Linked DNA regions of Pelodiscus sinensis. The protein of the gene in region 4 purifies or fractionates together with the protein of the main gene of each other region. This does not show direct contact. Links are inferred from orthologs where the notes say so. Each region holds a gene or a part of one and is shown on either strand. Other genes may lie near its edges. The genes, in order: EEF1A1, FBH1, COPS7A and RBX1.

What was found.
Region 1: the proteins of RBX1 (region 4) and EEF1A1 purify together in Homo sapiens (affinity purification with western blotting; 3 studies listed by BioGRID, with this or other methods). This does not show direct contact. The link is inferred for Pelodiscus sinensis from reciprocal best matches to the Homo sapiens genes RBX1 and EEF1A1.
Region 2: the proteins of RBX1 (region 4) and FBH1 purify together in Homo sapiens (affinity purification with mass spectrometry; 3 studies listed by BioGRID and IntAct, with this or other methods). This does not show direct contact. The link is inferred for Pelodiscus sinensis from reciprocal best matches to the Homo sapiens genes RBX1 and FBH1.
Region 3: the proteins of RBX1 (region 4) and COPS7A purify together in Homo sapiens (affinity purification with mass spectrometry; 3 studies listed by BioGRID and IntAct, with this or other methods). This does not show direct contact. The link is inferred for Pelodiscus sinensis from reciprocal best matches to the Homo sapiens genes RBX1 and COPS7A.

What each region holds. Positions count from the first base shown.
Region 1 is NC_134713.1:54,087,865-54,095,503, reverse strand, and holds the start of EEF1A1 (elongation factor 1-alpha 1), read left to right. Parts: upstream 1-4,620; 5' UTR 4,621-4,649; intron 4,650-5,350; 5' UTR 5,351-5,395; coding exon 5,396-5,539; intron 5,540-6,261; coding exon 6,262-6,441; intron 6,442-6,519; coding exon 6,520-6,816; intron 6,817-7,036; coding exon 7,037-7,187; intron 7,188-7,337; coding exon 7,338-7,594; intron 7,595-7,639. UniProt on the Homo sapiens protein: Translation elongation factor that catalyzes the GTP-dependent binding of aminoacyl-tRNA (aa-tRNA) to the A-site of ribosomes during the elongation phase of protein synthesis.
Region 2 is NC_134711.1:3,369,482-3,376,740, reverse strand, and holds the start of FBH1 (F-box DNA helicase 1), read right to left. Parts: upstream 3,011-7,259; 5' UTR 2,869-3,010; coding exon 2,856-2,868; intron 1,514-2,855; coding exon 1,349-1,513; intron 1-1,348. Other genes in the region: ANKRD16 (ankyrin repeat domain-containing protein 16), read left to right, coding at 5,520-5,547, 5,915-6,269. UniProt on the Homo sapiens protein: 3'-5' DNA helicase and substrate-recognition component of the SCF(FBH1) E3 ubiquitin ligase complex that plays a key role in response to stalled/damaged replication forks.
Region 3 is NC_134711.1:138,490,561-138,498,191, reverse strand, and holds the start of COPS7A (COP9 signalosome complex subunit 7a), read left to right. Parts: upstream 1-4,628; 5' UTR 4,629-4,863; coding exon 4,864-5,025; intron 5,026-5,453; coding exon 5,454-5,529; intron 5,530-6,946; coding exon 6,947-7,035; intron 7,036-7,104; coding exon 7,105-7,307; intron 7,308-7,631.
Region 4 is NC_134711.1:89,607,900-89,615,254, forward strand, and holds the start of RBX1 (E3 ubiquitin-protein ligase RBX1), read right to left. Parts: upstream 3,003-7,355; 5' UTR 2,959-3,002; coding exon 2,845-2,958; intron 1-2,844. UniProt on the Homo sapiens protein: E3 ubiquitin ligase component of multiple cullin-RING-based E3 ubiquitin-protein ligase (CRLs) complexes which mediate the ubiquitination and subsequent proteasomal degradation of target proteins, including proteins involved in cell cycle progression, signal transduction, transcription and transcription-coupled nucleotide excision repair.

The DNA.
Region 1 (7,639 bases), on a different chromosome or scaffold from region 4:
AGTTAAACAGATGAGTTTCACTTAAAATGTCTTGATCATTATCTTCTTGTTCATTTCTTACACCCTTTCTTATTAGGTTCCTGGTAGGGCTAGTCATGGAGAAATACTGCACAGTGTGTAAACTTTCTGTATCTTTTCACTAAAAGATAAGACTTGTCATACTGGATCAGCTCAGAATTCCATCTAGTCTATTGACAGTAGCAAATGCCATCTACTTGAGAGGAAGGTGCAAGAAAACCTGTGGTGGATACTTATAAAATAACTTGCCACCAGAAGTTTCTATTTATCAGTCAGTGGAGGAAGGATTTAAAAGTATCAGGAACTGAATATTTGAATGGTCAGACCTGAGTGGTTAGACTATTAGAATACTTTGCACTTACACATACAAAAGCATTTGACTGATATTATTCCTATTTTTCAGATGAGGGAAGTGACATGAAGTCATTGCAGAACATGGATTGGATGTTGCACAGTGCGCAGCTTACAATAAACTGCTCCTAGAAGACCTAGAATCTAGATCAGCTCCTCCCCAGTGTTTATTGGAACTTTATTTTCCTCACCTTTCATCTTTCTCAATCATATCTGCCACCAGCCTGAAGGCTGAGAAACTCTTTTTATGCCATGTGGAACTGAGAGATCACTTGAAATTACAGCAACAAATTAAAAATTATTGCAGATACTGGATGAATTGGGGAACCAATGGTTGGACAGAGAGCTCTTTTACCTCCAAGACTGATGGCTGAGTGTTCAGAAAATACTGCCTATTTGACTGGTGTAGGAATAAATTGAGTAGACTTTCTAGGAGACACTATGTAGAACTCTGACTACTCTTGAAAATAGTCACTTATTTGCATGCTTAATATGGACTCTAGACCAGTGGTCTCCAACTTTTTAAAGCACAAGATTACTTTTTCAATGTAAGTCAATCCAGGATCTACCTTAAACCCAAATACACTTGCCACCACCTCCTTCCCCCCTACCTTCTTGGAGGCCCTGCCCTGCTATACTCTTTCTCAGAGGCCTCACCCTGCCCACTCTGTGGAGATGTGGTACAGAGGTGGAGAGAAAGGGAAACCCTGACATCACCACTGCCTTTTCCCCCCTCCCCCACCCGCACAGCAAGCAGGAAGATCCTGGGGTGCAGCTCCAAGGCAGAGGGCAGGAGAATCATAGTAGTGGGGGGGAGAGGCAGCCAAAATGCTGGCAAGTGATAACCTCCTAGACAAACCGGTTACGTTTTTAAATCAGTTAAAAAGCAAATAGCTGTTTATGCAAGAGCTTCCACTATTTCAAGCCCTAGTGGAACTGACCTGATGGTGGCAACCAAAGGATATCTAAAGGAAAAACAAAGACTATCCTTTCTCCATACAAGTTTTTATTCCCTTCCCCAGATTTGTTTAGAAAATGATCTTATAGGCTACATCTACACTGTAGCCTTCTTCCGCAAAAGCTTATGCAAATGAAGCACAGAGTGGAATATTGCTGCGCTTCATTTGCATAATTAATTAGCAGCCGCTTTTGCGCAAGAGGTTCCTTTTTTTGGCGTAGACGGCTCCTTTTTGTGGAAAATCCCCCTTTTGCGCAAGAGCCATTCTTCCTCATTTTTTCAGGAAGAACGGCTCTTGCACAAGAAGGGGTTTTTGCATAAAAAGGAGCCGTCTACACAGCTCCTTTTTGCGCAAAAGCCTCTTGCGCAAAAGCGGCTGCTAATTGATTATGCAAATGAAGCATGGCGATATTCCACTCTGCACTTCGTTTGCATAAGCTTTTGCAGAAGAAGGCTACAGTGTAGATGTAGCCATAGAGTGGACAAGAGCAGTCTTTATGGATTGTGGTCATTCCAAGCACAACTAAGCACAGCTCCAACAATGTGAGTGTTGAATAATATGTCTCCAAACTAATTACATGAAGAATTTCAGTATAAAACATTGAAAAATATACCCCCGTCATAATCCGTGGTCAAATTCAGTTAAAATGATTGCTAATGCATGTCTCCGTAATATGTGATAATCCATTGTAACACCTCAGTATGATTAAACTAAACTGTAATTCTTCAAATATACTCATGTACACATACCATGCAATAGTCACATAGAAGACTATTATCTAAATATGGTTAAATATCTACAAATACATTGAAAATTCCTTTGATTACCCAAAATCTCAAATATCCATTTGCTAAATGACAATGACAGGAAAGGTGGTGGTATTGAAGCTGCACCTTTATTTCAACATGTGCTCTGCTAATTTCTAATCTGCTTTAGTTTCGCGGGCTGGGAACCCTAATAATATGATGTACATCAGTCTCAAAATTCAATGTCCTGTGAAGTGCATCACAGATTCCCCAGGTAATAAGAACACTCTTGAACAGCTTTCACAACCATATTAAAGCAAAGTTTTACGCTAATGGCTGCGTCTAGACTTCCTGCTTTTGTGGAAAAACTTGCCAGCTGTCTACACCGGCTGCTTGCATTTCCGCAAGAACACTGACGATCTCATGTAAGATTGTCAGTGTTCTTGCGGAAATACTATGCTGCTCCCGTTAGGGCAAAAGCCCTGTTGCGTAAATGCTTTTGCACAAGAGGGACAGTGTAGACAACGCAATATTGTTTTGCGCAAAAAAGCCCTGATCGTGAAAATGGCGATCGGGGTTTTCTTGCGCAAAACCATGTCTAGTTTCGCACGGACGCTTTTCCACAAAAAGTGCTTTTGCAGAAAAGTGTCCGTGCCAATATAGACGCTCTTTTCCGCAAATGTTTTTAAAATGTTTCCGTTAAAAGCATTTGCGGAAAATCATGCCAGTCTAGACGTAGCCTACTGAGTGTCTATTCAAAAATGACAACACACATAAATATAGGGAGCAGACCTCATGAGTATTCAGTGATATCTGTTTATTCTAGTGAGCAAATTAAATCTTTGCTGCAGATAGCACTGCAAATTTGTGATATTTGTGCAAATAAGTGCCTTTGTCACAGAGAAGGAATCAAACAGTTGTTTTTATTCAGAGGGTCCAGCTAAATTCATCTATGGAACCCCACAGGAGAGAATAGCATGCATGCAGCACCACAAAATATATGTAACGCAGAATCTTATTACTAATGGCGATGCATAAGAAAATCCCAGCTTGACTTTGAACGAGGAAGACTGAGAAAAATAATCTTTTAATTTGTAAGAGCTTGTATACACCTGGAATTGTACAGAAATAACTATTTTGGAAGAGAGTCTCTCTTTGGAAGAGTAATGGTGTTAGTCTGTAACTTCAAAAACAATAAGCAGTCCTGTGGCATTTTAGAGACTAACAAATATATCATGAGCTTTCATGGGTAAAATCCACTTCATAAAATGGGTATTTTGGTAGAGTTAGTCAACAGGTGAATCCTTGAATTTCTGAAGTCCCAGTTTAGCTTAATTTATGCACTAACCAAAAGCAAGGAACACTTATTCTGGGGTAAGAATGTCCATGCATTGATTTACTCAGGTTTCAAATTCACACACACCTTCCTTTAATTCAAATTAATTTAAAAATGCTGACAAGCCCTAACGTAAGCACACTTAATCCAGAGAAACAATTAATAGTGGAACCTTAAGTTGTCCTTTTTATAAAAAGCTGTTGTAGCAGTGTTGGGCCCAGGATAGTAGACCTAACAGATAGTACCTCTTACAGGACCAAGTTCTGTTGATGCAGAATAAATTTTATGTGCACCATGGCATGTGCAGACATGAATCTCCAAAAGAAACACATGCTGCAAGCTGTTGGAGGCTGTGGGCGCTGTGCTGATCAGCTGGATGGTATTTAAATTTCATATGCAGCTCCCCAAGTGCTCAGTTTAAAGGGAACACGGGTGCATTGGGTGGGGGTAGGGGACTAAAGTAGTATGGTGTTTTCAGCAGATATATAAGGATAGAGTAGCACAGGTGGCGGAAAAGGTGATTTTAACACGGAGGGAAGCGTCATGATCTCTGGGGATCAGGAATAATGAATGGGATGGAAAGGGGCAGTCGGTGGAACATAAGGAAAGCGGGAGATGAAGGCGAGGCTGCACATACCCAGGGTGGGTAGGAGAGCTTGAACGTCTGAAGGGGAAAGCAAGTAGCTATGGTGACTAGACAAGAGGACTGGGCGCCTGGGAGCTTGTGTGAGAAAGAGACGGGCTGCGGGGCACGGGGAGCAGCTGGAGGAGGCGAGTGCCGAGGGACGGTGCGTGGCGGGTAGCACTGCGCGGGCTGCTGTCCCGGGACAGGCCCATGGGCAGGGTCTGGGGGGCAGCGCAGGGGGATGGGACACAGGCCAGGAGATTCCTTCCCCCCGACTGCCCTGCCCTGGTGACCGTGTCTGAGTAGGAGCAGGTCACGCTCAGAGAGGGGGGAGGGGCTGCCGCGATTCAGGGCGCGCGGGAGGGGTCATCACCAAATTCCGAGCGGAGACACCCAGCGGGGCTGCGGCTGGCAGCGCCCCCTGTCTCGCAGCGCGCAGAGATATTTGTCCCGGCTCCCTGCCCAGCCCGACGCCAGCGGCGGTGGGAAGGAGGAGCGAGTGGAACGCTGGGAACGGTGACGTGTCCCGGAGGCTCCGCCCTCGCACAGGATATATAAGCGCAGCGGCTCACATTGTCGGTCTTTTTCGCCACGGGTTTGCCGACGCTTAGCAGGTGAGAGGCGGCCGCGTGGAGCAGGCCTCGGTGGGGGGAGGGGTAGGCCCGCCCTATGTGGCTGGAACAATCGAGCGCGAGGCGCATGGTGGTTGAATGCAGCCTTGAGCGGGGAAGCTGCGGCGCGTGCTGGGGCTGGCGATAGGCAAGGGAGCCGCGAGACGATGGGGGCCCTTCTGTGGGCGGGGGGGGGTTCACAAAATGGCGACGTGGCCACGCGCTGCCCCCGGTGGGTAGCGTATGGAACCCGGACTGGGGAATCCCCTTCGCGGCGCGGGAGGGGGGGGGAGGGCTCCCCATCTGCCGGGCGGTGTGGGCCGGCCAGACGTGCGGGGGGTGGGAGCGGGGTCGCGCTCCCTAGTGCGGGGCCGCTCCCATTCCTCGCCGCCCCTTTCAGCGAAAATGGCCGCGTCTCCCGCACACGCGCCACAAAATGGAGGACGCGGCGGTCCGGGCGGAGTGAGTCAGTGACACAAAGAGCCGGGCCGGCCGGCGCTCGCCAGGCCGCATGGCCGCTCTTTCGCTCGCGGTGGGAGGGAAGCGTTTCTCGCCTTGTGTGCCCCCTCCCTCGCGGGGTGGGCGGAGCCGCGGCCCTCGAGTGCCGCCTGGGCCTAGTCGCGGCCGCCACGCCCTGCGCCGGGCGCCGCCCCGTTAGCGGCGCTCGGGCCCGGGCTCATTCCTGCCGCCTTTTCCCTGCCTAGGAGTTACCCTTGTAACGCGAGAGCGGCCGCCGCGAACCACCCAACATGGGCAAGGAGAAAACCCACATCAACATCGTCGTGATCGGCCATGTCGACTCCGGCAAGTCCACCACCACCGGGCACCTCATCTACAAGTGCGGGGGCATCGACAAGCGAACCATCGAGAAGTTCGAGAAGGAAGCCGCGGAGGTACCGCCACTAGCTTGCTTGCAGTGCAGAATGGAGGCTCAGCAGCTGGGTGTGGTTGCTCCAGGCCACAGTTGGTGAAATAGCACCTCTTTTAAACTGCTGCAGACTGTAAAGATAAATCCATCCGTCCGGACTGGGAGAAAAGACCTGACCTAAGTACAGCAGGGATTTTCAGAGTTCCCAGCCTCTGGCAGGGGTTTCAATTAGACAACACTAAGCTGCTCTGTATCAGCAACTGTTAAATCTAGGTTTTTTAAAGGCTGAGCAATACATGGCTCTTGTACCACAAAGAGCACCAATGAAAAGCATTACAACAGACTGCATCTCAAACTTGAGTGACAAGATTACCCTAGCCAAAAATTGCCCCAGGGTAAATAGTACATACTCTAGCTGTGGAAGAGATTACAGTACTATGAAAACAAGAGCTTATAGTGGACACTTGATACAGCCTTGGCTCTGCTTGGTCTAACTTTAAGAGATGTATTAAATATAATTAAGAGATTGAGGGCCAATGTGGTGTCAGGTCAAATACCAGAAAACAGATGGTATTTCTCACCAGTGATGCCAAATGTATTCAAGCCAAAGTGCTCTTAGCATTACAGAAAACTAGCTGCAATGGAAGCTCTTTACTACTTTGAGATGTTCCCACTAGCATTGGAAATAATTTAAACTGCTATAAAATAGTGCAAGATGTACTAACACACTTTTTTAAACACCTGTAGATGGGCAAAGGTTCCTTCAAATATGCCTGGGTTTTGGACAAGCTGAAGGCTGAACGGGAGCGAGGCATCACAATTGATATTTCTTTGTGGAAATTTGAAACCAGCAAATACTATGTCACCATTATTGATGCTCCTGGACACAGGGACTTCATCAAGAACATGATTACTGGCACCTCACAAGTATGTAAATGTGAATTCAGTTGGGTTTGTTATCTATTTGTGGTCCATGTAAAAAACTAATTATCCTCTTCTCCAAAGGCTGACTGTGCTGTCCTTATTGTTGCTGCTGGTGTTGGTGAGTTTGAAGCTGGTATCTCCAAGAATGGGCAGACTCGTGAACATGCCCTTCTGGCTTACACGCTGGGGGTAAAACAGCTGATTGTTGGTGTGAACAAGATGGATTCCACTGAGCCACCATATAGCCAGAAGAGATATGAAGAAATTGTCAAAGAAGTCAGCACTTATATTAAGAAGATTGGCTATAATCCAGACACTGTAGCTTTTGTACCAATTTCTGGTTGGAACGGGGACAACATGTTGGAGCCTAGCTCTAATGTAAGTTTGCATTTATTTTGTATATCAATTGAATTGAAAAGACTGCCAGAGTGAATTGTCACAATAATATGCATTTGAATGGAGATTAAATTGTTAAACTTGTCAGATCAAGGCAAGTTTCAATGTTTCACAACTTAAGATACAAAGAAGAAATACTCGTAAATATTCAGATATGTGAATAGGAAGGACACAAGTTATGTTTGTGCTGCTTTTTGTTTAGATGCCCTGGTTTAAGGGATGGAAGGTTACCCGTAAGGATGGCAATGCAAGTGGAACTACCCTGCTAGAAGCTTTGGATAGCATACTGCCACCAACTCGTCCAACTGACAAGCCTCTGCGCCTGCCTCTGCAAGATGTCTACAAAATTGGCGGTTAGTATTTTGTGTGAAGACTAGTTCTGTAAATTTGTCAGTTTGCTAGTGACATTCCAACCCTTAAACTGCAGAAATGGTAACATTTGTCAATCTTTGTATAAGTTTAAGTTGTAAGAAATAAACATCCTAGAGGGTTTTTTCTTTCAGGTATTGGTACTGTACCAGTTGGTCGTGTGGAAACTGGTATCCTGAAACCAGGCATGGTGGTAACATTTGCTCCTGTCAACGTAACAACTGAAGTAAAATCTGTTGAGATGCATCATGAAGCTTTGAGCGAAGCTCTGCCTGGTGACAATGTTGGTTTCAATGTCAAGAACGTGTCTGTGAAAGATGTTCGCCGTGGTAATGTTGCTGGTGACAGCAAGAACGACCCCCCAATGGAAGCGGCTGGCTTCACTGCACAGGTACTGTTTGGAACCATTTGAAGGTCTTTGGAATTCAGTTTATGG
Region 2 (7,259 bases), about 86 Mb from region 4:
AATTAGTTCCCTTCTTCACTGAGAGGCTGTGAGCATGTATTCGTTAATGCCATTAAGTGCACTGAAATCCCTGAATGGAAGCTGGTACAGAGTATTAGACAACAAACACCGAGAGATCTAATTAAATAAGAAGGCGTATTAAATAATGAATATGCAGGAGTGTCTCCATAAATGCGGGAACAAAATACAGGACTATGTAGCATTTTAAAGACTAACAAGATGGTTTATTAGGTGATGAGCTTTCGTGGGCCAGACCCACTTCCTCAGATCAAATAGTGGAAGAAAATTGTCACCGCCATATATACCAAAGGATACAAGTAAAAAAAAGTGAACACATATGAAAAGGACAAATCAAATTTCAGAACAGAAGGGGGATGGGGGGGAAGGTAAATGTCTGTGAGCTAATGATATTAGAGGTGATAATTGGGGAAGCTATCTTTGTAATGGGTAAGATAATTACAAAGATAGCTTCCCCAATTATCACCTCTAATATCATTAGCTCACAGACATTTACCTTCTCCCCCCCCCATCCCCCTTCTGTTCTGAAATTTGATTTGTCCTTTTCATATGTGTTCACTTTTTTTTAAATTGTATCCTTTGGTATATATGGTTGTGACAATTTTCTTCCACTATTTGATCTGAGGAAGTGGGTCTGGCCCACGAAAGCTCATCACCTAATAAACCATCTTGTTAGTCTTTAAAGTGCTACACCAGACTAACACGGCTACATTTCTATCACTATTCCATAAATGCGGATACTGCAGTATCTATTGCTTAGAGCTCCCATTGGCAGCAAGCAGGCTGGCCTACCGAGGCTGGTGTGCGCACTTCAGCTTTTCAAAGCTAGAGAAAGGCAGGGGGGATTTGAAGTTGGGGTAAAACAGGAGTTAACCCAGGCTTGGTGTAGGACTCACCCCTTCTTGGGAGGGGAAAAGACTCCTGACGCTGAGGCCAGGCCTACGCTGGCAGATAAAGTTGATGTAATATACGCAGTTCCAGCTATGACAACAGCATAGCTGGAGTCGACTTACCTTACACTGATTTTCTGGGGCAGCCCCACAGCAGAAGGTCAATGGGAGAAACGCTTCTATCAACTTCCCTTACTAGGAGTACTATGGTCAAAGGAGGCCCTCAGCTTTCGATTTAGTGGGTCTTTACTAGACTACAATATGGGTGATTACAATATGGATCAATCAACTTCTTTCCTTGTGGACAATTAGCCCTTTCCCGCTGCTCTTCCCTCTGTACCCGCTCATAGAAATTGGGGTTAAATTCTACTTGTTGCACAGAGTTGATATTAACATTTTCTCTCTCTCTCAGCTCTTAAACCTGTTTAGAAACACTCTACCTTCTTGTGATCTCTTGGTCCTGTATGTTGGGTAGAGGCCTCTGTTTAGATCTCTGCTCACTCGTCTTTGACTGAAAGGCTGTGTCAGGGAACAGGAGCCTTCTCTGCTCTGCCTGAAGGCTTCACAGTCGCTGGCGGTGAGGCGCTTTTGTTTAAATGGTTTCACTGTCACCAACGTGAAAAGCAAATTGCACGGTTGTTAATTCAATTACATTGATGTTTGTTTTCAAGTGACATGCTGTGCCTTTGGTACACACCTACAGCCAATTAGTTTCCTAGCTCTATGGGATGATCCCAACATTGAACCAATGTACCTTCTTTCAATTGCCTATGCAGAAATATATGCAGACCCCTGACGATATTCTGTAGAGTAAAATAAAACATCAAGACACTCTGTACTGTCCCAGACTAAGTTTACACAGTAACATCACTCTTGGTGTCTCATTCATCACCGTACAGAACTTTGGGGTATCCTCCAGTAAGCAATTGCTACGTCACTGTAGCACAGACAGCTACTGTAGTGACAGGAGTTTTGCCAGTGATGTAGTAAATTTGCCCCCAGGACAGGAAGTGGCTAGATCAATAGAAACAGACGTGTCCACACCTGGGTTTAGGTCAGTTTAACTCCATTTCTCAGAGCTGTGAGTTTTCTACACCTCTGAGCAACGTTTTGGGATCTGGTTACAATCGAAAAAATAATCTAATGTAGATGGGTTTTCAAGCCAATTGCACAAAAAAGCTAAAGCGTTGGACATGTCCAGACTAGGGATGTTAAAGACTAGTCAACTAGTCGACATCCTCCCCCTGCTGCAAAGGAGGGGGGACTTTATGAAACCCCAAGGCAGCCGCTGCACAACTGATACGTGGATCAGCTGTGTGGCGGCTGCCCCTTTAAAACACTGCCTCCGTGCATTTCAAAGGGGCAGCTGCTGTGGATTGAGAGTCCCCTGCTGACCACAGGCTCCATGACTTTGAAATGCACATTTCAAAGCAGGCATGCCCCAGAGTCAGCGGGATTTCCGCTGGCCCCAGGCTGTACAAGGAGTTCCGCATTCCTCCTTTGAAATGTAGAAGAGCCACTGCTGGGGCTCTTGTACATTTCAAAGGAGGAATGCGGAAGTGCCTGTCAACTAGTCAATTAACCGCATTTTAACATCCTTACTCCAGACTTGTTAAACTTCAGTCTACACTCAAAACTGCAAACTCGTAACTGGGCCCCTACTCAGATATATTTGCAGTGTAGCTCTTACCTCTACAGTTGTCAGTTAACTAGAAAATCTTGCGAGCAATATTTAAATGTTCTACTGTAAATGCATATGTGCAACAATACCATCTACTTTGATAATAGGGACTGGCAAGGATAGATAACTTAATGTCCAGCTATAGAATTATGAGTTAATGATCATGTGCAATAATCCTTCCAGATGCAGTAAAAGCCTCCAAGCCACACTGCTTACTTGGCTTCAGTTTTTAATCAGAGAATGATATCCCATACCAGAAACCATACCCAGGATATCCATGAAGCGAGTAAGTGCTTTTGGCTTCAATTAGCATCCAAAGGTCAAGTCATTTTCTTTCATGTCTTCCTCCCCTCAGAACTATTACATACACCACTAAGAGCTTTAGCAAAGACCCCTGGGGTATGTAATGCCTTATACAACCACCACTTTGCTGTCCCAAAACATACCAGAAGCAAATGTCTACAGAGGAAATATTTGCTCTTCAAGATGAGATCCTTTGAAAAAAATCCACTTAAAAATTATTTCTCTCTTATTAGGAGAGTAGACACAGAATTCAAATTGGGAAAAGGAACTAGTCCAACTTTAATCATTATTATCAATAAATCATAACCTATTTGCTTCAATGGTTCAAGATCTTAAATATCCCAGAGAACAGGATCAAGCGGCTACTTCTGCTTTGGCCATGACCTTGGGAACTCCACCCAGGGCATTAACTGCCTTTACCTGCCCATGCCTATTCCTGGCCCCCAATGCAAACCCACCCCAGATCCTACCCCTGGCCCCAAAGCAGAACCTGATCCCTGTCCCCAATGCGTAATACCCCTCTACCCCAATCCCCGCCCACAGTGCCCCCCAGGCCCAACCCTTCCCCTCAATACAGACCCCTCCCACCATCGACCCAGCCCCCTAGCCCCCACCCCAGTGAACACCCCCACCCCATGGAATGCTCCTGCCCCCAATGCGCCCCAGGCCCTAGCCCCGCCCCAATGCGCCCCAAGCCCCCCCCAATACGAGCCCCCTCTGGCCTAGCCCCGCCCCCAATGTGCCCCGATACCCTAGCCCCGCCCCCAATGCAATCCCAGGCCCTAGCCCCGCCCCACTACGGAGCCCCCTTAAACTGAAGCCCCGCCCCCAATGCGCCCCGAGCCCCCCATACGAGCCCCCTCCGGCCCAAGCCCCGCCCCCAAAGCACCCCGAGACCCTAGCCCCGCCCCCAATGCAATCCCAGACCCTAGCTCCGCCCACTACGGAGCCCCCTTAAACTGAAGCCCCGCCCCCAATGCGCCCCGAGCCCCCCATACGAGCCCCCTCCGGCCCAAGCCCCGCCCCCAATGCGCCCTGAGACCCTAGCCCCGCCCCCAATGCAATCCCAGACCCTAGCCCCGCCCACTACGGAGCCCCCTTAAACTGAAGCCCCGCCCCCAATGCGCCCCGAGGCCCTAGCCCCGCCCCCAATGCGGATCCCCACAGGCCCTGGCCCCGCCCCCCAAGGCGCCTCACTCTGGTCCCGCCGCCGTTCGGGGCCTGCGGGGGCAGCGCCGCGTCCCGACTCCGACCTCCTGCCCACGTACCCCGCTCGGACTTCCTGGGAGCCCGCCCCTGCCGCTGACTGACTCGGCCGCCCGCCAATCAGAGAGCGCGCAGGCTCGGCGCCGCCCAACCAGCCCCGCCGTGGCTCCGGGAGGGGCGGGGCCACGTCGGCCCCGAGGGACGAGCGAAAACGTTCCCGGAGTTTGTTTACTTCCTCCGCCCGCTGTCCACTCTCCCCCTGCGCCGGGCGTCCCCCGCGGGCTGTGACGTCACGCCGCGGTGTGTGGGCGGGGTCAAGGCGGGCGGGGGGCAGCGTTACCATGGCGATGCCCTCGGTGGGCCCGCCCCAGGCGGGGGCCCCGCTCTCAGCTGCAGGAGGCGATGAGCCGAGGGACTTGCCCCAGCCGGGCGGGGACTTGCGTTAGGGGCTGCAGCGGGCCCCGGTGCCAAAGAGAAAATGGGACCCCCCCCTTGCCCCCCCCGCCCAGTGCTGTTGCCAGTCGCTGCGACTCGGCAGCCCCCCCCCCCGCCTCTCCCCTACAAGGGGCTGGCCCCTCCCTTCACGCCGCTTTCTCCCATACCCCCCCCCTTCTTTTCCCAAAAGGAGGCTTTGTCCTGTTTGCGCTTGGCAACTTCATTAGCTGGCAAGAGCAGACGGGATAAATGCCTCCTTGGGGGGGGGGGGGGGTCGGTACCACCAGAACATGCCTTAAAAAAGCCCCTGCCAAGATGGGACCTGTGGATATGGGCCCCTGCCAAGATGGGACCTGTGGATATGGGCCCCCTGCCAAAATGGGACCTATGGATATGGGCCCCCTGCCAAGATGGGACCTATGGATATGGTCCCCCTGCCAAGATGGGACCTATGGATATGGGCCCCCTGCCAAGATGGGACATATGGATATGGTCCTCCTGCCAAAATGAGACATGTAGATATGGCCCCCTGCCAAAATGGGACATATGGATATGATCCCCCTGCCAAAATGGGACATATGGATATGGGCCCCCTGCCAAGATGGGACATGTGCATATGGCCCCCTGCCAGTTTCATCTCCACCCACTTGCCTAATCTGATCCATTTGCTAAGGCAGATTTAAATCATCCATCTGAGATAGGGAAGCAGCTCTGTTCCAATAGCCCTGCCTGGAAGCAGCGAGCACAGTGCTCCTAAAATAAAGTGTCAGGGCAAACGCTATTTGTCCAAAAGAACACAGCCAGTGTTAGGGGAAGGAATTCAGTGCTGCACGCCCCTGCAGCAGCCGCTCCAGCAGCCTTCAGTGGACGCTGGTGTATCTGATGTGAGCTTTTAATCATGTTAATGTGACACATGAGTAGCTGGGGTCTTTTTCACTTTGTGTAGCTGACCCCACAACCTTTTTTTTACCTTTGGTAACAGGATAATGTTATGGCTGACTGTTGAAAATCCGGGTATTAAATAATAATTGCTGTCTTTATGCATAAGATCCAATACTGATGTTTTTTATTTACTGTGTTTTCAGTTATGGGAGGGGGAAGTATTTTTATTCCTAAAAGCTTTTTTATGACACTGCACATCCACTGGCTCGCAAGCATACACGTCTGAGTTTTCTTGTGAACATTTTAACCCTGTGATGCCAGATATCAGACACTTGACAGCTTTGATTCATTTGGTGGGAGAAACCCGTGTTTTGGATTTTATATTAAGGCTGTTTTTATTATCATAGATTTTCCAAGTAGCGTTTAAAATCTCATCAGTCATTTTATTCTGAAATCTCCCCGTCTCAAACCTTCTTGTTGCTGTTTTTGAATGTCTTAGGAGCCGCACATTTCTCCATGGCAGAAGCAGAAAATCAGAAACAACTTCTCAGGCTGATTCAAGAAGGCAGGCTAGACCTTTTCCAAGAGGAGTTGCAGAAAGACGAAGAAACGAGCAAGGAAGTGAGGCGGAAACACTATGGGAAATCTGCCGACACTGTACTTCACTATGCAGCCAGGCACGGTCACCTGAACATTCTGGTCCATTTAGTAGAAGCCTTGGAAATGGACATTGAGATGGTTAATAATGACTACAAAAGGCCCCTCCATGAAGCAGCTTCCATGGGTCACAGGGACTGCGTGTTGTATCTATTGGATAAAGGTGCAAGGATAGACTGCTTGAAAAAGGCAGACTGGTAGGTCACAGGCATGTTTCTGAGGACAGGACAAGGAGTAATGGGCTTAAAGTGCAGCAAGGGAGGTTTAGATTGGACATTAGGAAAAAATTCCTAACTGTCAGGGTGGTCAAATATTGGAATAAATTGCCAAGGGAAGTGGTGGAATCTCCCTCTCTGGAGATATTTAAGAACAGATTAGATAGACATCTGTCAGGGATGGTGTAGACGGAGCTTGGTCCTGCCTTGAGGGCGGGGGGCTGGACTCGATGACCTCTCGAGGTCCCTTCCAGTCCTATGATTCTATGATTCACTGTAGGATCTCGCTAGTTTTTGAAATGTGTTTGGGAGGAAGAATTGTCGAGTTAGCACATAGGTCAAGGTCTAATCCAGATCTCCCACTAACTCACTGAATGACCCCTGTAAAATTGTGCTGGTTTTCTTGCCTTTAAAATCTAATGAGCACTGAAACTAAAAGGCAGAGGGAATGAGAAATTCATGGGCAGCTAATAATGAGCCTTAATTAATTGATATGTGGAAAACAGTTACAATGGTTAGCAGAATGGGGACCTGATAATACAAATAATGATATGCTAATACAAATAATAATATTCTCAGATGAAAATTGCTGCATCAGTGTAAAATTATATGGCAAGGGCCTGAAGCTGTATTATTCACCAAAGTAGTGGAGGGAAAAGATTTCCATCACATAAGGCACCCTGGAGTTCTCAGCTAATATGTAATGTTGACATTAGAGCATGAATAGGAGGTACTGACCTAATTGTTATAATTATAAATCATTAGTCAGTTAAGGATTGTTGACATTGACACAATACGTGCGATACTTGTCTCATACAATAAATGCAGCTACATTGATATCTTATAGTCCCATAGCATCTTTCATTTGTAAGAACTCCAAAAGCAACAGTGCATACTTGTAGAGCCCTGTGCAGATACAAAATTGGTATCCACCTCCACACGAGGGATGCAAAATTCTGCTTAATCAGATAA
Region 3 (7,631 bases), about 49 Mb from region 4:
TCTTTAAAAAATTTGATTTGATTGATATTTCCTTTCTTACTGGTTATATGCACCACCTTATGTTACAGCTGCGTATTTACGTTTTTGTGCTCCAGGAGCCTAATATGAATAATTTAGTATTTAAGGTATTTAGAGATAAGCGAAGGCATTTTGTCATCATGGATGGTTGGCTGGTGGTCCGTGGAAAAATTTTCATTGAGTGGGGTGGGCCGTTGGCCAAAAAATTTGAGAACTACTGAGGTAGATCAGAGGGCATTTGGGTCTTGTCAACATCTGAAATGTGTACCAAATGTAACTACATACTAGTAATGTTAAAGTTGTACAATCCCTTTACAATACATGCAGTTACATTAACAGAGTTGCTTTAGACAAGAATAGCTAGTCCCATACAAAAAGGGAAATAACTCTGACAAGTATGCCATTGTTATACCTGTGCAACTATGTTCACTCTATGGCTTTTATTCTATAAATCAAACCTAAGTATAAACAGTTATACCTATGACACTTTCAAGTGTGGACCAGACTTGGGAACCTGTTCCTGACCTTGTGGGTGGAAGGGTCTAACTGTTGCAAATGTAGCCTCCCCACAGGAATTTTAGGGGCAAAGAAATTAGTTTTAAGAGCAAGATGGATAAATTCAAAGTGTGATTATATGATGGGGTTGCTTGTGACAGGAGAGGAGGAAGGATCCACAGCCCTCAGACTCACTTCTGGTTTCTTTGTTATCGTCCTATAGCTCATGCTTCAGGATTTCAGCTGACTGCTGGCAGGGTCAGGAAAAGATTCCCCCTCCCTCCCATGCTTTTTGGGAGAGATTTTTAAAGCTCTTTCCAAAGCACCAGGGATGGCCATGGCTATGATGGGATATTGGGAGGGGGAGCAGGGCTTTGCGGTGATACCAACATTCTCCCTCTCAAGTGCTGGATTGGCAGGTTCTTTCTCACATGCTCAGAGTCACTGATCATCATCCTGTAGGGTCACTTGTTCCCTGCACAAAATTCTTTGTTACACACACACAGGGGCTATATCTACATTGGCATAATCTTGCACAAATACTCTTTAATGCAAGAGTTCTTGCGTTAAAGTATTTGCGCAAGAGAGCATCTACAGTGGCATGTGCCTTTGCGCAAGAGATGTGCTTTTGCGCAAGAGCATCCGTGCCAGTGTAGACTCTCACTTGCACAAGAAAGCTCTGATGGCCATTTTAATCATCGGGTTTTCTTGAGCAAGAAATTCATGTTGCCTGTCTACACTGGCCTCTTGCGCAAGAACAGTTGCACAAGAGGACTTATTCCTGAGCAGGAAGATCATAGTTCTTGCGCAAGAAGCACTGATTTCACACATTAGAACGTCAGTGTTCTTGCGCAAGAACTCCCCACCAGTATAGACAGGCAGCATGTTTTTGCGCAAAAGCAGATGCTTTTGCACAAGATCACACCAATGTAGACACAGCCTGGGACACAACCACCTTCACCTTTCAATGGACTCAAGACATAAAACCCTTTCATTTAGGCCCTCCCACCCTTTCCCAGTTCCTAGGGCTCTGGGTATAAGGCATTCAACTTTATCCCTTTGTGGGCTCCAAGCTCTCTCTCCCCATGGGGCCTAGGGTATAACATGCATTCCCTATGGACTCAGGATCTTCAGGGTTATGGCTCTTTTACAAGTGAAAGAGCCTTATGCAATAATATGTTTAATCTCTGTTTATGAACAGTCACCAAAGCAGCATAAACACGCTTAGCATACAATGCGCACCACTCCCAATAAAACCGATGCACTTTTCTTGCTGGCCAGCCAGGATCAGATCATCTGGGGATTTCAGCTTCTGCATGGTGTGATTGACAGGGTGTGGAGGTCTGGGAGCTCTGGTGTTGGGGCTGTGTTCTGTAGCTGGTTCCAAAGAACTTCCTTTTGGACCTAAGTTTACATAGTGAAACTTGAGTCTCATTTAGCAAACCCAGGGCTATTCAACTTTGGAAGCCCCAGGGGCCACAATGATATGCACAGCAAATGCCGACGGTGGTTGCAGACATGCAAATATATATGCAAATAGCTTCTTTCATATTGATGGGAATGAATACAAAGATTAAGGCAAGACTACACAACACGCAGGCCCCATTTAAGTCAGTTCTGCTGATATTAATAAAATGCAACATTTACCCAATTTCCACCCATATGACAGAACTTTTAATGAGCAATGACAGTCCAGGAATTTAACTACTAAAACTCATCTCAACAGAAGACCATGATACTGACTACTTTTTTATTTTGGCTCCCACTCGTGGGCCACGTGTTGAGCACTGCAGAAATCCATGGGCCACATGTTGAGTAGCCCTGCCTTAACCAATCATTTTACTAAAGTATTAATTAAACAATTTTCTATCTAATTCTAACACATTGTAAAACAATTCTTTAACCAATCATTCCCCACCACCACACAGAGGTGTCCTTAGGCATATGCAGCTGGATAGGGAACCATTAAATTTAGGGCATCTATCCTGCATACGCCACAGGATGGTATATTAAGCAGCCATGCTTCATTGGCTTTGGCAGTCCCATCAGTCCCATTCCCCAGCTGATTCTCCTCCCATCCCGCCTCCCCCTCCCCCGGTAAGCTCAGCACTGGCTCCAGCACCCCTGCCCTCAGCTGGCCCTCCATCCCATGAGCTGTGGACCAGAGGACATTGGAGGAGCAGGGGCAGCCACACAGCCAACTGATGGAGAGAAGCAGCCATTTCCCCTTCAAAGCACCACATTTGTCTGGCTGGCAACAGAGCTGCCTGCCCTCTGTTCCTCTAGCTTGTGCTTGCACTGCCCATGCCTCCTACTTGCTACTCTGAGGCTGTAGGCGAGCCTCCCTCCCTGCCCTGCTCCAGGGTTGCCAATTCTCCCAGACGAGACACCAGTGCAGCAAATGGCATCCTGTTCAAGAGAGTTGGCAACCCTCTGCCTTCCACAGTGTGGCACCAGCACCGATAAGAATGACCCTGCCGCCATAGTTGATTTACACTTAGCAAAATTAGTTATATAACAGAAAGAAACAATTGAAGAACCAGGCAGAGACCATACAGATAGAGAAGTGGGAACCATAAAAACAAAACAATAAAGAAGTAGAGATTTCACAGCCACAACCACTGATAAGTGTTTTATTTCCAGAAAGAATGCTATCAACGTTTTCTTTAACTGACTTAAGATCTGTTTCTTTATTGGCTGATGGTGGATACACTGTTGGAGCAGGATCACTTCCTTAATGGCCTAATTACATTGCTTTACTGTAATTTAGCTGGAATGTGAGAACCTGACTTTCTACTTCTTGGCTCGTGGCTGTTCAAAAAAGGTCTCAGGCCGTTTTTCCGACAAAACTTGAGGCACACCCACACTGCAATTGCATTCGTCCGCAAGAAAATCAAAAGAACAGAGGGGTTTTTCTGGCATTTGTAATCCTCATTCTATGAGGAAGAAGCCTTTTTCTGAAAGAACTCTTTCACAAAAAGGTGCGTATGGATGGGAAAAAGGGAGTTCTTTTGGAAGAAGAGGAAGGAGGAAAAAGTACAGGTACCCTGGTGGCCATTCTGGCCATTGCAATCACAGCTTACATGCGAGTCTGGGCACTATCTGTCAAAAAAGCAGATTGCTTTTTAATGCGCTTTTGCAGTGTGGATGCTCTTTCAGAAGAAGTTTTTGCAGAAGATCTCTTCTGAAAAAAGCTTCTTCCGAAAGAAGCCTGTAGTCTAGATGTAGTCAGAGTCAGCCCTTACAACATGGCTGCAGGAAAAGGTCTGGGCCTTACGCAGGAAGGAATTTCCACTCAGGTCACAATGGCCTTCCTCTACTGCATGTTTGCAGGTCTCTTGCCATGATTATCTAGGTATGTGTCACTTAATCATTTCCCTGCGTTGCAGCAGGAAATCGGACACTGGTCCCTCCTATTCTCTGCCTGTGCAAAGATAGTCCACTGTCTGTTTTGGTCTAATGTTGCTTGTTCCCTTTAGTGTGTAGCTCCTGGGTGTGTTGGTGGCCTGTGCTACCAAGGTCAGAAGATAATCTGGTGGCTGGGCCCTTACGATTCCAAGACTCACTGTCAGGACGCCTGCGACCTGTCTGTGTGGCGGGAGCGGAGCTGTGGCGAAGGGGGGCCGGTTTAGTCAGGCTGAGTGGTTTGGGTCTGTGGGTGAGGTTGCACCTGCCCAGGTTTTCACAGAATCACCCTTTTGGTAAGTGGCTGGGCTGGCAAGTCGGTGCGGGTGCCCGCTGCCTAGTGTTGCGGAATGGGAGCATCCCGCACGCCCTGCTGCTCGTGCCGCAGCGGCAGGCCTGTCCCAGGCGGGCTTCCCGCGCCCGGCGCTGTGCGGGAGGCGGTGCCGCGACCATGGCAGCTTGTCGCTCCCGCAGCAGCGCGCAGGGCGAGTGCTGGGCTCGCGCCTCTCCAGCGGCGCCGCGCGGCTGCCGACAGGGGCACCTCCCCGCTGCGGGCTGGTGCAATGGCAACCGCGGGCCCGCACAGCGCCAGTGTCACTCAACTGGGCCAATCGCAGAGCGGCGGAGGCGGGAGTAGAGCGGCACAGACCCAATGGAGGGGAGAGAGAAAAGAGATGTGGGAGTGGCCTGGTGGCTCCCTGACGTCGGAAACCCGGAAGTGGCCGATGGGGGGAGGGGAGTGCCATAGAGGGGGCGAAAAGCGCTAGTTGCGGGAGGGCCCGAACCCCCCCGCGGGCAGGGGCGCCCCAGCTGGGAGCCCGGCGGGGCGCTGCGCACGCGCCGCTCTGCAGCCCGGGTCCGGCAGCGCCTGCTCTGCCCTGAGCGCGGCCCCGGCCCGGCCTCTCTCCGCCCCTGTCCCCGCGGCGCCGGCGGGCCGGGCCGGGCATGGCAGCCGAGGGGAAGGCGGCGGGGCAGAGCCAGGAGCAGCTCCTGCTGCTGGCCCGCTCGGCGCGCGGCGCGGCCCTGGCCGGCCTCATCCACCAGGTGCTGGAGGCGCCCGGCATCTACGTCTTCGGGGAGCTGCTGGATCTGCCCAACGTCCGGGAGGTGAGCGCCGGGGCAGCGGCCGGCGCGGGGCTGGAGGAGGTCCGGGCGCTGCGGCGGCTGGGGGGGAGCGCTTCGTGGGGCTGCCCCGGGAAGGCGCAGCCCAGCCTGCCCGCGTGGGCGTGGGAGTAGCAGTGGGCTGCTGCCCGTGGCCTCCAGCGCCCGCGGGTTACACTGGGGGTCGGGGGCTCCCCCGCTATGCCCCTGCCAGCCTCCCGGAGTCTGCCCGCCCGCCGCTGTGCGGCCCGGGAAGCGCCTGCCCGCCCCACGCAGCTGTGTCGGCGGTAGCGACAGCACCCGAGCGTACCGCGTGCTGGGGGTGCGGGGTGGAAGAAAGCCGGGATTCGAGGCGCCCCCTGCACCTGGGGCAGTGGCCCGGCCGTGGCGTGCCAGGTTTCTCGCCGTTGTACTGAGTGCTCTCTCCCCTGCAGCTGGCTGAGAGTGAGTTCTCCTCCGTCTTCCGTCTGCTCACGCTCTTCGCATACGGGACCTACTCGGATTACTTGTGTAAGTGTGTCCTTCTCCTACAGCCCCTAGCCTAGTGCCCCGGCGCCTCCCGCTCTCCTGGGAAGCAGGCAAGGTGGATAGGTTTGCCAGCTTTCTAACTGCAGAAAACCAAACACCCTCCTCTACTGCCCCCTTCCTTGATCCCCCTTTCACTCCATCTCTCCCCATGCTCACTTACTCATGCTTGGGAAGGAAGGAACAGGAAGGGGCTTTGGCTGCTTACTCCAAGTGGCTCCCAGGAAGCAGTGATGTGTCCCTCCAGCTCCTAGGTGGATGGGGTGGCCAGGGAGCTCTGTGTCCTGTCCCTGTCCTCAGTGTCTTCCCCCAGAGTGCTTATTGACCAGGGGGAACTATGGGTGCAGCACATGGTGTCTCTGTTGTTGCCCTACCCCCTGTGAGTCAGAGGAATGTGTCTCCACTTCCTGGGAACCAACTGGAGCCAGGCAAAGAACCTGCCAACTCCACCACCTGGCCTTTTAACGACCCAGTCAGTAGTGCTGACCCAAGCTGACAGGATACCTTTCGGCTTGCATGTTCCACTTGAAAACTGGCAATCCTAAAGATGGGAGGGGAGAAGGGCAAGTAACTGACTCAGGGTTCAGGTTTCAAAACTGGTCAGGGCAATTTTGGGGATGCAGAAGCCCCATATTGCAGCCCAGGGAGGGAATAGTGTTTTTTCTCTATAGTTCTGGGGGAGACCCCATGTAGGATACTTCTCAGTGTTGGACCTTCCATTTGCAGAAAAAGAGTGACAAAGTTGAAGGAACTCACCAACCTATTGAAATGCTCAGAGGGGAAAAGGGGTCCTGCAGCAGCACAGGCTGGTGGATAGGGCATTGCCTAGAACTCAGGAGACTGGGGTTCTCTTCTCGGCTCTACTACTGCACTTGCTGTGTGGCTTCAGGCCAGTTGCTCTTTCTGCGTTATGTCCCTTTTTAGACTGGACGTTCATTGTAACAGGCAGGCTCACTTGCTCTGTGTGCGCGCAATGGCTAGCTCAATGGAAGCCTGACTTTGTTGGGGTTCTAGATGCTTCTGGAATTCAAATAATACAGGTGGAGTTCTGGGTGGAGATTCCACGTGTACAACACTTCCATTTGGCTTCATGGCTCCAGTTAGGTGAGGAATGAGGGGTCTGATTATGAGGGCCATCTGCCAATGGTTAGGGATGTGGATGAAGAGAAGATTTATTTAGGGCTCATCTGGGAAGTGAGGAGCAGGAGGAGCTGGGTGAGACAGATTCCAGGAGAAGGCTTCCTCCATGCAGAGCTGTGTGAGAGCTTTAGGAGATACCTTGCAGAGGGTACGTTAGAGACTTTGAGGAATGGATGTGGGGCAAAGGACCCTAGCCAGAGACTAGAAGAGGTGAGATTGGACAGCTCCAACTCTAACACCGTGCTCTTTCTCCTGAGAGCAGCCGAAGCTGGAAACCTCCCGCCACTGACTGAGGCTCAAAAGAACAAGCTGAGGCACCTGTCAGTGGTCACTCTGGCTGCCAAGATCAAGGTAATGGCTTAGTCCCCCTCCCCTTTCTTGTTGGGGTTGTCCCATACTAACTACCTTTGCTTTCCACAGTGTATCCCCTATGCAGTGCTGCTGGAACAGTTGCAGCTGAAGAATGTGCGGCAGCTGGAGGATCTAGTTATTGAGGCTGTGTATGCGGATGTGCTGCGCGGAAGCCTGGACCAGCGCAATCAACGCCTTGAGATCGACTACTGCATTGGGCGGGATATCCGCAGGGAGGAGCTCAGCACCATCACACGCACGTTGCAGGAGTGGTAAGGACGAAGCCCCCAAGGCCAGCTCCCTTCTCCCCCCAGAATGTCGGAGTGGTGACAAGCCTCTTCCATGGACTTTTAGGGTGGTGAGGAGGTGCTGACATGGAAGGAGTGGTGAGGAGATCTCTCCTAACCCGCCATGATCTACAGATGGGACACCCACACCTGCCCATGTTGCAGGAGTGCTATTGAGACTTCAGACCTATGGAGTCACTGAGCGCCCCTAACTGCACATGTGCTGCAGGACTGCTGACAACCCCAACTTCAGGCAGCTCTCAGTCCTCTTGTGGCCACAAGTAGGGAGGAGACTCCTCCAAATATGGG
Region 4 (7,355 bases):
TGAGAATCGTACTGGAAAACCAATTCAGATCTCCTTGACCAAATGGAAAATACCACAATGAGCAGTAGCCCTACCAATAAGTTACCATTAGGGATGACCATATGCAGCAGCTCTACTAATAAGTCACCACTGCCACCACAATGACAATCAACTAGTTAAAATATGCCATGCTGCACTCAAGTTCCTTCTTTCAAATGTCATGAGAGCTAGCACAAAGAACTGGATGGCCTATCTGCGGCTCCAGTGTAGGTTTTTGAATACAGGTTGGACCTCTCTGGTCTAGCACTTTCGGGACCTAACTGGCCCCAAATGATGGAATTTGACAGACCAGAAAAGGTCCCCTGCTACCCTCCCTCCCCGCTGCTAGCCCCAGCCGCCAGCCCCAACCCCACCAAGCTCCAAGCCGCCAGCCCTCTTGCCACTGGGGTTCGCAACTAGGACTCCCTGGTCCAAGAACATACATGGTCCTATCATTAAAGTGATAGAGATGTAGCCGTGTTAGTCTGGTGTAGCTGAAACAAAATACAGGACTATGTAGCACTTTAAAGACTAACAAGATGGTTTATTAGATGATGAGCTTTCGTGGGCCAGTCCCACTTCCTCAGATCAAATAATGGAAGAAAATAGTCGCAACCATATATACCAAAGGATACAATTTTAAAAAAAATGAACACACATGAAAAGGACAAATCACATTACAGAACAGAAGGAGGATGTGGGGGGGAGGGGGAGGAGAAGGAAGGTGAATGCCAGTGAGTTAATGATAATAGAGGTGGGGAAGGGGAAATTTCACAGTGTGATGCTGTTGCAAAAAAAGCAAATATGATTCTAGGTTGTATCAACAGGTGTGTTGTAAGCAAAACTCGTGAAGTCATTCTGCCGCTCTACTCTGCACTAGTTAGGCCTCAGCTGGAGTACTGTGTCCAGTTCTGGGCGCCACATTTCAAGAAAGATGTGGAGAAATTGGAAAGGGTACAGAGAAGAGCGACAAGAATGATTAAAGGTTTAGAGAACATGACCTATGAAGCCAGGCTTGTTTAGTTTGGAAAAAAGAAGATTAAGGGGGGACATGATAGCGGTTTTCAAATATCTAAAAGGGTGTCACAAGGAGGAAGGCGAAAATTTGTTCCTCTTGGTTTCTGAGGACAGGACAAGGAGTAATGGGCTTAAAGTGCAGCAGGGGAAGTTTAGATTGGACATTAGGAAAAAATTCCTAACTGTCAGGGTGGTCAAATATTGGAATAAATTGCCAAGGGAGGTGGTGGAATCTCCCTCTCTGGAGATATTTAAGAACAGGTTAGATAGACATCTGTCAGGGATGGTGTAGACGGAGCTTGATCCTGCCTTGAGGGCGGGGGGCTGGACTCGATGACCTCTCGAGGTCCCTTCCAGTCCTATTATTCTATGATTCTGTTCTGTAATGTGATTTGTCCTTTTCATGTGTGTTCATTTTTTTTAAATTGTATCCTTTGGTATATATGGTTGTGACTATTTTCTTCCATTATTTGATCTGAGGAAGTGGGTCTGGCCCACGAAAGCTCATCATCTAATAAACCATCTTATTAGTCTTTAAAGTGCTACATAGTCCTGTATTTTCTATCATTAAAGTGTGATTCTAAACTGAGAATTAATTATTGTGCAAACCTGTAAAAGCCTTTTTACTCAGCAGACTTGATGTATTCAAGTCATAACTATTAATTTTATGGTTTAAAAAAATCTGGATTTTATTGATTATTTTACTTCTGTTAGCTCAGTAAATCCAATATTGCTATAAAGGAGGAAAGAAGCTGGTCCAATCAGCTATTAGTCTTAATTTCTGGTGATGATGTTATTCATGCCCATAGGGCAAGGCTAGAGTACCCAATAAGCCTATGACTAGGAGCTTTGACTCGAGTAAGGAGAGTTCTGACATGAAGGGCACCTAAGACAAACTTCACTGAGCATACACCAGTCTGACCCACAGTCATGTAGAAAACTGCACAGTATTGGCACGGGGCAGCCACCACTGCTGCCACTCAGGTGTCTGAGGGAGACAGAGGACTGGGGCACCATTAAGCTTTATTACTCAGGGCCCACTCCTGGGCTGCCATGCTCGCTGGGTCCCTGACGATTTGTTTTTGGGGGTAGAGGAAAAGAAACAAACACGTCTTCCCTCCTGGATAGGCTTCGAAGCAAAGGTCAACGGGTGGGAAAGGGAAACCAAGGCCTGCGGCAGAAGAACAGCAGCGCCGTCAGGAGAGGGGGTGGCGGGGGGCTGCGCCACGCCGAAAATTAATTCAGGATCAGGGAGAAAGCGCCCGCACCCGGCCACCAGACCCACTCAGGGCGGGAGCGTCCTCACATCACCCAACTAAAAGCGGCTGCGAGGGCCCGTGGCGGGTGGCTGCGCGTTGGCTCAAGGCCACACCAGAGGCGCCAGGCAGCCTGCCCACGGCCACGTCCCCTCGGGGCGACACTTCCCGCCCCCTCGCCGCGCCCCGGCCCCGCAGCATCGCCCCGACGGAACAGGCTGAGCCGCGGCGCAGCCCCGCCCTCAAGGGGGGACGCCACCGCCCACTCCCTGTAACAGAGCGGACACCTCCCTAACACAGACCCGCCCCCACACGCTGCTGTCACCCGGCAACAACAGCGCCACTGATTGGTCCCTCCGTCCCCCACGTACAGTCACCCCGCTTCAGCTATTGGCCCCGGACTGCGCCAGAAACCCAGAGCCCCGCCCACTCGTGCGTAGTGCGGAACCGGAGAGCCGGCCTCTGAAGAGACCAAAACTCGCCCCGGAGCTACCGCCCCGTTCCCCCCTCCTCTCCCGCGGCTGCCAGGGCGGCGCCCGCCGGAGACCCACACCTTCTTCACTTCGAAGCGCTTCTTGCTGGCGCTGCTGTTGGCACCGCTTGGGGTGTCCACATCCATCGCTGCCGCCATTTTGATACCCGACTCCCAGCCCCTTAGAGTGCGCATGCGCGAGAAAAGGGCCAAAGACTCGCGACAGTTCTTTTCCCTTCGCCCCGCCCCGCACGCAAACAGGTGTGAGGGGAGGGAGGGAGAGGGGAAAGATCGCAAGGAAGCATCATGTGACGCTGAGCTCTTAAAGGCGCCAGCCAGGGCGGAGCCCTAGTCAGCCTCCCCCGCCCGCATGACAGAATTGCGCAACTTTAGGGCGGGGGGATGGAATGAACCCGGCAGCAGCATTTAAAGGGCGACGCAAGAATTCTCGCCCGAGAGCCGGGGTGCTGGTGGGCGCCCCGCCCCGCCCCTCCCCTCTGTCTGCCCCGCCCTGGAGAGAGCTGCGGGCCGCGCTCGACCCAGAGCTTCGTGCTGGAACCGGCCGGGGCTCCGTGCGGCGGGGCCGAGCCGCGTGTGGCTGCCCCGGGCCGGTGCCTACGGAGGCTGTTCGCCGCTCTGCGCTGCAAAGCGGGGAGCTGGCAGTGGGGCAGCGCTGGGCTCTGCGCCTCCATCTTCCTTTCTGTGCCCGTCCACACACATGCACCTGCCTGGGCCGCCCTGCTGCTGCTCGGAGCCCTGCCCGCCGCCGGCGCTGCTGCCTCCCCGGCGCTTAGCTCCTCTCCAGAAGCCGACATGCAGGAGAGTGACCGGCCCAGTCGGGTGCTGAGCGCTTCGTGCTGCCCTGGCGAGAAGGCAGAGTTGGGTGCCTTTAGTCCTGCCCATCAGTCTTCTGCACCCACTCGGTTGTGCCCCTAGCAATGAGCATTTTCGAGTCACACTAAAATACTCAGCAGGGCTCCTCTTTGCCAAAGGGGCCTTTCGAAAAAAATGTAAATCTTCTCCTTCCAAACACGCGCAGCTTCCCATGGCCTTTCAGAGTGCCTCCCTGTCAGCAGGGGACAGTGGTGGCTGGCAAAGGCTCTGTGCTACCATGCAGGAGACTAGAACAGAGTGGCCGACTCATTACAAAGAGCCAAAATAGTGGTGGATACAGCGCAAAAAGCCGAGGAAAACAAGTTGTTGTGCAAAAAAAAACCAAAAAACAAACAACCCCCTCCCCCCAAAAAAACTGCTGCCCCTTTAAGAGCCACATGTGGCCCAAGCAGGCCTTTGTCAGCCGCAGCATCAGATCTTGCTGCGCCAAGCAGCGCCCTGCCCAGACAAGGAAGAAAAGGTCAGAGCAAGGGACTGTGAGAAGAGACGCAATTTTTCCTTTGAAGAGCCACATGCGGCTCGCGAGCCACAGGTTGGCCACCGCTGCACTAGATTGATGCTGGTCTAGCTCATTTTCAGTTGTGATGCCTCCATGGGTTAGTGTTGACCTGCCCTAAGGCTCAGTCTGTCTCTGACAAGTATTTGCAAAGCACATTTTTCAGTGGAAAAAAAAATCTCACCTTGGTGACTTTAGGCTGTTGCATACTGCCCCAGGGCCAGGAAAATTGTTCAGTCTTTGTTTCCTTTCAAAGTGAGTGTTGGGAATGCTATGGGAGGCAACGTGTTTAAATTCTCCTCCAGGTGCCTTGTACTTTGTGTAGCTGAGCAGTGACTTCTGGTTACTGAATAAGGAGCACTGCAGTGTTGAATGACATCCCATCCAGTGTTCCCGCTAAGATTTTCCATCCTGAGCAGAGTAAGTTTTGTCTTGTGCACCAATATTGAGGTCCCGTGTGCATGTTCAGATGTGTGTCACTGGCACCCACCAGTTACTAACAAATATCTTTAGATATAAACATTATAGAAGAAAGAATACTAAAAGTATAATTAACACTGTGCTGCAGCTATTCTCCCCCCCCCCCCCCCCCCCCGGGACCATAGGAGACAAATGAGGGACAAGGCATGAGATAGACCCAAGGGGCTGGTTAGTTCCAATGTGAGGAGAACATGGAAAGAGACCCACAGCCAGGTAGGGAGAAGCTACACCAACAGAGGGAAGCGTGACTCTTTCCTGAAGGCATCAGAGCTCAGGTTTACACAGCCTGTGTTAATGGAGCTCCCCCAGCCTCAATGGGACATATGCAGTCTGTCTATCAAGGAACTCACACTGCCCTCCTTCACTCCAGTGTCTGACCTCCTCACAATCGCTAATGCACGTGACCTCACAACTCTACAGAGGGGAAACTGAGGTATAGCGATGTACATCTAGCATAATGGAATATGACAGCTTTATATTAATGTTAATTTGAGTTCAGAATTTTTTAGCAGATGATCTAATGACTAAACAAACCATACAGGCATATTTTGTCCAATTGGTACATGTGGAAGTTTAGATTACATAAGAACATAAGAACGGCCATATTGGGTCAGACCAAAGGTCCATCCAGCCCAGTAGCCTGTCTGCTGACAGGTGCCCCAGAGAGGGTGGACCGAAGACAATGATCAAGTGACTTGTCTCTTGCCATCCTTCTCCAGCCTCTGACAAACAGAGGCCAGGGATACCATTTCTATCCCCTGGCTAATAGCCTTTTAGGGACCTAACCTCCATGAAATTATCTAGCTTCTCTTTAAATTCTCTTATAGTCCTAGCCTTCACAGCCTCCTCTGGCAAGGAGTTCCACAGGTTGACTACACGCTGTGTGAAGAAGAACTTTCTTTTATTAGTTTTAAACCTGCTACCCATTAACTTCATTTGATGTCCTCTAGTTCTTCTATTATGGGAACTAATAACTTTTCTTTATTCGCCCTCTCCATACCACTAATGATTTTATATACCTCTATCATATCCCCCCTCAGTCTCCTCTTTTCTAAACTGAAAAGTCCCAGTCGTTTTAACCTCTCTTCATATGGGACCCATTCCAAACCCCTAATCATTTTAGTTGCCCTTTTCTGAACCCTTTCCAAGGCCAAAATTTCTTTTTTGAGGTGAGGAAACCACATCTGTACACAGTATGACCGTCCGGAACCGCGAACTTAAACTCAGTCACATCATGCTTGACTATCTTACCTAACAACAGATACAGAAAGAAAACTATTTTCAGATACCCTTAATAACCATTTTGCAAAGGGTAGAAGCCACAACATTTGAGCTCTAATCTGCATTCTTTTAAGTTAATGGCAAAACTCTAGTTAACTTCAGTGGTATAGGACTGGTTCCTTGTTTCATCCCAATACTTTTTGCTGTCTTCCTAAATTCTGATTTTCTTCTGCAACATTATTTGAGCAAAACAATTCACAGTTATTATATTGGGAAAGGGTGGGGGATCTGGAGTAATGCCAGAGGGGGCATGAGAAGAGAAATCCTAGTTCTTTGTTTGGTAGGCTGGTTAGTCAAAATGTTATAGCCTTACTTAGAATTCTTACGACAGGGAAGTGGCTGGAGAAGGGATGGAGGTAAAAAAGGGAAGAGAAAAACAGACTAGAAGGGACACAGATGGGAGGCACAGTTCTGGCTGGCTGGCCGAAGCAGCCACCAATCCGCCACGCAGCCATGGTCGCGGTTCTGGACGGCCAGCCGGAGCAGCCACCCACCTGCTACATGGCCCCAGCCCTGGTCCCAGCTGGCCGGAGTAGCCTCCTGTCTGCCATGCAGCCACAGCCAGAGCTGGCCGGAGCAGCCACCCACCCACCATGCAGTCCTGGCCCCAGCTCCCGGAGCAGCCATCGACCATGCGGCCCCAGCCCCACCTGCCAGAGCAGCAGGCCACATGGCAGCTGTAGGAGCTAGAACCCACCTCGCCAGTCACTTTCCAGGCCCTGCAGATGAGGTGGGCAGGCCTAGAATTCTTCATGCATGGCCGCAGAGGCATGCACCTTAGAGGGAACTGAGATCCCAGCCACGTCTCTTTATTTGGGATAATAGAGGCTAAAGAGCTGCCAGTAATTTGTATTTATCCGGTAGGACCAAAGTACATCACAATGCTAAGTCCCAGCTCACTATTGTGATTTGAAAGCCCAACTGTGCTCCTGCTGTGCCAGTATATCCTGTCTTGTATGCTGTGGCAGTGCGTCTCCTGAAATAAATGGAATGATCCTTGAAGAAGTTAAGGCTTCTGATACAGCTCTATAAAAACCAGCAGTGGTGGGCAAACCTTGAAGGCTAAGCACTGGTGTACCTGGCAGAGGGGAAACATCAGAACTATGTCAGGAATGCAGAGAATGCCTTTGGATGTTATGCAGGTAAGGAATGGGGAATAAATGGAATAGGGCATCCTCTTCTTGTGCTGAGAACTGACATGCTTATGTAGCAAGAGGTTCACCCTTGATTCTGGATAGGGTCATCCTCATCCTGCGTACTGTTGGCCATCAGTTACTTGTTGATTGCAAGGAAAGGCAGTTCCCGTTATTATGGTAAGGAAACTGGATACATAAAATTAGGATTGCAAGAGAGACGAGCATACAGTGAGTGGTAGCAAATGCAGAAAAGGAGCACAGTCAACCTTACCACAAAGTAAAGACTGAAAATTTTAAACAAAAAT